2 linked regions of the Kluyveromyces lactis genome follow. The protein of the gene in region 1 purifies or fractionates together with the protein of each later gene. This does not show direct contact. Links are inferred from orthologs where the notes say so. Each region holds a gene or a part of one and is shown in the gene's direction. Other genes may lie near its edges.

The links. The genes of interacting proteins can lie anywhere in the genome.
Region 2: the proteins of MOT1 (region 1) and NCB2 purify together in Saccharomyces cerevisiae (affinity purification with western blotting; 3 studies listed by BioGRID, with this or other methods). This does not show direct contact. The link is inferred for Kluyveromyces lactis from reciprocal best matches to the Saccharomyces cerevisiae genes MOT1 and NCB2.

The regions. Positions count from the first base shown.
Region 1 is NC_006041.1:2,106,767-2,110,876, forward strand, and holds the start of MOT1 (DNA-binding ATPase), read left to right. Parts: upstream 1-1,292; coding exon 1,293-4,110. UniProt on the Saccharomyces cerevisiae protein: Regulates transcription in association with TATA binding protein (TBP). Removes TBP from the TATA box via its C-terminal ATPase activity. Both transcription activation and repression require its ATPase activity.
Region 2 is NC_006039.1:578,253-580,572, reverse strand, and holds NCB2 (negative cofactor 2 transcription regulator complex subunit NCB2), read left to right. Parts: upstream 1-1,355; coding exon 1,356-1,817; downstream 1,818-2,320. Other genes in the region: UTP5 (Utp5p), read right to left, coding at 1-224; SXM1 (Sxm1p), read right to left, coding at 2,119-2,320. UniProt on the Saccharomyces cerevisiae protein: Component of the NC2 complex which represses RNA polymerase II transcription through binding to SPT15/TBP and thereby inhibiting the assembly of the preinitiation complex.

The DNA.
Region 1 (4,110 bases):
CTAACTCTCAGAAGGCCAGTGGTGTATACTTTTTTTTTCATCAACACTGCTTTACACTGCATAAGAGTCATTATTCTCGCCAATGGATTCCTAATTAGGCTCAGAAACGCATGCAGAGAATTTGTCCAAGATTAAATAGAAACACGTACAAACTAAACATCATCGATTCGATGAATAATTACTACCAAAGAACACTACGCTTTGCCATTCACGACGATATCGCCACAGACACACCTGTGAATTTCCAGCGGAAATTCTAGTTAAAAATCCGGGTGACGCATGATGCTTCTAGTTTTTCAGTGAGAAAAAAATTTTTCCAGCGGAAAACAAAGCAATCGGTAAGAAAAGAAAGAACAAGTAAAGAAAAGATAGTGAACATTACCCGGATAAACATAAATGTTCAGTGCGGGTTCGAATGGCCGCACATATTTTTATCGATAAAAAGTAGCTCATTAGTTACTTACGTAACCAACGGTGTATAAGAAGAGGATGTACGGGTGTACATAATTAATTGCTTCCCTCCTTTTGCTAGCACATCTTTATTTTTTTTTGTTTTTTTGTCTTCACTGTTCATTATTCTCAAATTACTGGTAATTTTGCACGACTTTCCACCCATGCCATTGGTCGGGTGCGATATTTTTACTGAGAACTTTTTCTTTCTGTTTATTTTTTTTTCATTTTTTTTCGTTCTCAAGCTCACTATGGGCGGTTAACTAAACTAAACCCCATCACCTAGTACAGAGAAAACATAGGGTTGACCCTTTGTATATAAACGCCAAACTTTTTTCGCAAGTTTTTTTTTTTTTCGGGGGGCCTGCGTTTCAGGATGGAAGTTAAACTGAAAGTTTCCCTAAAAAAACCTGTTTTGCGGGTAACATATTCTTTGTTTTTTTTTGTTTTTTTTTGTTTTTTTTTCTTGTTTATTTGTACAGTTCTGCCTGTTGGCTGTGTTCAAGCAGCAGTTTGTTTAAGTTTTTTTTGATTTTTTCATTACCCTAGTTATTTCTCGCCGATATTTCTTTTTCACTGTCTTGAGATTTCTGCATATATAAAAGAAGGTTTATATTTTGGCGTTATTTGTTTTGGTCTCAGCGGCAGAATAAACAAATTGGAAAATATCAACAAGGGCGCGAGAACTACATCCCGAAAAAAGACGCCTACATATACGGTAACGTGCCAGAGGGAACGTCACGATAGTGATACATACGTGTATATATACAGAGCTCTCGTCTATCGCATTGTTTCCCTTTTATTTTCATTTTTGTTTTTGAATTATATTGCAAGTGATTAGCATGTCATCACAGGAGTCTCGATTAGACAGACAGGTTATCTTGTTAGAAACTGGGTCCACGCAAGTGGTACGGAATATGGCTGCTGACCAATTAGGAGATTTAGCCAAACAACATCCAGAACAAACACTCCCATTGTTATCGCGGGTTTACCCTTATCTATTGAGTAAACAGTGGGAAACTAGAGTGACAGCTGCTAGAGCAGTTGGAGGAATAGTGTCACATGCACCGCTGTGGGATCCCAATGCGGATGACGAGGAAAGTAAAAATCCCCAGACGCAGCAGCCATTGGGTCCAGAGTCTGCCAAAGTTAAAATTGAAGAGGAGATGAAGGTAAAATTGGAGGAATTGTCACATACAGATGAATGGAATGAACTGCAGGACGACACGCATTATTTTACTTTGAACAGTTGGAAGATTAGTGAGCTGCTGAAGTCTGGGAAGAGTCTACTAGCAGCCAGTGCAAATGATTATGAATCGAAAGCTCTTAATATCAATAATAATGGGTCTGCAGATATCGAACAGGATGACGCTAACAATGTCAAACATCTGAAGAAAGAGGATTCGTTTGCCGATCTGAAAAAGGAAAATAGTACGGATTCGCTTGCAGATGAGGATACGGTAAATGAAACGAAAGAATCGAAGAGATCAGCAAGAATGCTGGCCATGGCAAGAAGAAAGAAAAAGATTCAAGCTAAAACGGTAAACAAAAAACCTGTAGATTTGTCACAGTCTAGTGCCACACGTAATATGATACCCAATAAAGAGGATCTGAGTGATTCTCCAACTCCGGTACCAATGACTTTAACGAACCCTAAACTTGAAATCACAGAACAATCCGATGAGAAGAGATTAATGGTCGAATCAATGGTGCAACCTATCTTGGAAAAACATGAAAAGATTAGGGGGTTCGTCTGGCAATTCCAAGGAATTTATGAACTCCTATTAGATAATCTTATGAACGAACAGTGGGAAATAAGACACGGTGCAGCATTAGGTTTACGTGAACTTATGAAGAAGCATGCTCCCTCAGTTGGAAGACTAAGTGGTAAGTCCAAACAAGACAACGATTCTCGTAATTACTGTAGCTTGGAAGACTTAGCTACTCGTCTCCTAACAATTTTTGCATTGGATAGATTCAGCGATTTTGTTAACGATACCGCCGTGGCACCGGTCAGAGAATCTGCGGCCCAAACACTCGCAACATTATTGATACATTTAGACGACGAAATTGCATTGAAAGTTTTCCAAAAGTTGGAGCAATTGGTACTTCAGGATCCTGGACTTACAGGATCTCCAAACAAAATATGGCAAGCTACCCATGGTGGATTGTTGGGTATTAGATACTTTGTATCGATCAAGACGGATTTCTTGTTCAAACACAACTTACTTAACAATGTGGTAAACATCGTTCTTTACGGACTCAAAGAAAGCGACGATGACGTACAAAGTGTCTCTGCTGCTATACTTTCACCAATAACAGATGATTTTGTAAAGTTACAAACTGACACCATTGATTTAGTGCTAACTACAGTATGGAACTCGTTGACACATTTGGATGATGATTTATCATCAAGTGTCTCTTCAGTAATGGATCTTTTGGCAAAACTATGCAAACATGAACAAGTACTCGCTGTATTAAAGCAAAAAAGTATCGACTCACCATCTGAATGGTCCTTCAAATCCCTTGTTCCTCAACTATATCCCTTCTTGAGACATTCTATCACAATGGTACGAAAGTCCGTTCTCAATTTACTATCAGCTTTCTTGTCTCTTAACGACAGTGCCACCAAAAATTGGATAAACGGCAAACTGTTCAAATTGATATACCAGAACATTTTATTGGAACAAAATGTGGAAGTGTTGGATCTATCTTGTAAACTTTATGCCGCAATGTTAAACGGTTACGTTAATAGCAAAGGACAGGAAAAAAGCATTGATTTTGTATTCAGCAAATATCTCACATCAATTTTGCATTTATTAATAACACCAATCGGAGAGCAAGGAAAAAATTATGCAATGGACATTCAGCATATTACCAAACCATCTTCGAGTTATTTGATAAACCTTGAGCGTAAGCGCTCTAATGCCACAGCTAACAGCAGCAATGTAACCGCCACTTATAGCCATCGCGTGAATATTGATTCACCAATGTTGGCTGGTGACGTGACATTAATTGGGCTAGACATAATATACAATACAAGAGTAAAGGCTGCGAAAACTTTGGGTTTAACCTTATCGTTTTTCCAAGAATCCACCCTTAGATCTTTCTTTGAGAATGTCTTAGCAAGTTGTCTTGATTTACCATACTCTACCCCAAGAATGTTGGTAGCTATAGTTCTATCATCGTTTTGCACGAATTGGAAAGAGAATCAACAGCATAATCCGGTACCCGCTTTCATGTCTACACTATTTAGCTCTACTTTCCTAGGGTTTTTGACGGGCGCGACTACACTTCCAGTTTTTCGTGAACTAACACCAATTTTAAAAGCATTACGCACTCAGTGTCAGAGTTTGATGACAACATTTGTCGATGTAGGAATGTTGCCTCCTCAAAGAGTTCCCGCAATCGCGATTATAGTTAAGGGCGAGCCAGAAGCTGGTCCCGAGGCCTTTTCAATCCAAACTGCCGAGAAAGTACAGACAGAGTTTTATGCCAAATTGTTCTCACTCCTACCAAATGCTCAGAAGATTTTGGCTCAAAAACCGTTAGAAGACGCACGCTATCGCGTTTCCTTGGCCATAGAATCGGCAAAAGAGTCAGAAAGGGAAAGGCAACTAGAGGTTTTGTCAAGTTACGCGTCTGCAGTTATGTTGATAG
Region 2 (2,320 bases), on another chromosome or scaffold:
CCCAGAACTACCAATGGTGTGTCATTGTAAGTAATCCATTGTATGCATGTACAGCAGACGTCTTTCCCCTCCAAATAGAGAAAATTATCGTTCACTAAACCAGATTTGGAGGCAGTTGTTGGCTCCACTGATACCCGCTGTTTATCCAAAGCGGTGGAAACGTATGCAAAATATTGTCCGGTTGGATCATATTGTGATAATACGACTGGCGAAGCTGTTGCCATCGTTAAGCTTGCTATTGTTATTCGTGTGGTAGAGTGTAGACCTCTAGCTTAAACAGTACGAAAGCCGGTGATTGTTCAATTAATATCCCAAGACGTTTTATCGAAACACTTTAGGAAAGAAGTAAGTACACAAAAGTAAATACTGTGCGATGAGCTCAGATGAGATGCGATGAGATGAGCTATGAAAAGTTTCAAATGAAAAGCTTTAGCTTGGAAAGGAGAAAGAAAAGTGAGATTTACTTACAAAAAACAAGTGCCGGGTAATAAGAAGTTAGCATATATTGTTCACGTGATTTGGAGCATATAGCCAGTGGTCCCCAATTTAAGGCTTTTCTTCAGGATACATCCACTGAGCTGAGTTCGTTAACTCAGCTTTTGCAATCTTATTTTACAACCTCCAAACATTGCCTTCCTGCTTTCAAGTTATACACTTCATATCTCCTAACAAACACTAGTTAGCATTTCTACTGTGATGAGAGGAAGCTGGGTGATTAACACAACATAAAGAATTTACGTCAAGTAAGGAAAGAGCTCCTGCCTAACAACCAAGGTCAACACTTATATGTCTCTGTCCTGTTGCTAATTTGAATATACATCTATATATATATATTTTCCAATCAGAATTCCCTTATTGTCCCTTGTTTGCATAGGTGATGCGATGTGTGCGATGTGTGTTGTTGTTTTAATTTTTTTTTTTTTATTTTCAACTTTTCTTCTTAGTTTGATTCGTAGTTTTATATATAAAGCATCAAAAAATGTGCCAATTTGGCGAGCCATATCATTTTTTTGCATAGTGAATGAAATAGCGATGAGTATTTTTTTAGTATATATTATTATACATAATTCAGATCTAGAGTTCAAGGAGGACAAAAAAGTGTAATACCAGGCATTTAAAAACAAAAGTTGACATTGTTAAATTTGTTTACAATCTGTTATCATCTCAAGTTCATCCAATTATCTAATTGATTACTACGTGAAGTGCTTGTTTGGTATATTGACTTGCAGCACAGAATTAAGTTCGAGAGTATTATAGTTTTTTCAGGGAAGCTTGCAAAACCAAAAAATAATAATCACAAGCTTTATCTTAGAAAATAAAGACCGTTAGAATTTCAACCATAAGCAATTGAAAACATGGTTGGAGAGGTTGACGACGTTACATTACCGAAGGCTACCGTTCAAAAAATCATATCTGAAGTACTTGATTCCGATCTAACATTCAGTAAGGAGGCTCGTGAAATAATCATCGAATGTGGGGTAGAGTTCATCATGATGCTAGCGGGTTCTGCTAGCGAGATCGCAGATAAAGAGTTGAAAAAGACGATAGCGCCTGATCACGTGATCAAATCCTTACAAGATTTGGAGTTTGATGAATTTATTCCACCATTAGAAGAGATTTTACATCAACACAAAGAAAACCAGAAGATTAGAGAGAGGCGGGATGCTAAATTCAAGAAATCCGGTTTGTCTGAGGAGGAATTACTACGACAACAGGAAGAATTATTCAGACAATCTAGGTCAAGGTTACAACAGACATCAGTATCGGACGCCTCAAGCAACGATCCAGAAGTTGGCGTAAAGGCCGAAGAATTCTGAAAACATAACAAACAAAGTGTTGCATTATCTTCAAAACTCACTCCTCTATACTTGACAGACTTGCTCTAGAAAAGTTTATAGAAATACTTGTGTAATAGTACGATTTATTGTTATATGAAAGAGTTTGAAAATTCGTTCTGCATTTCAAGGACGGGAGTATGTATGAAATACCTCATGTGATTGACTGAAGTGCGTTTATAGAATATGTATACCTGTCCAATTCTGAATTTGGAACGATTATACTCTGCCGTTTGTAGATTTTATCGGATCATTTTCTATCATTATTGGTTAAGGCACGCGTTCATAAGCTTGAAGTTACAAACTCAAGTATTGTTTTCAATGCATCTTGAGAGTCGCTGTCCATTGATTGCATCACAATATGATACCTTTCGGGATTATACTGCTGTAGTGATACGAAGAATTCATGCAATTTTGAGAATGGATCGATATCATCTAACGGAGAATCATTGAAGTCGTCGTCAATTTCATCATAGAAATCGAGG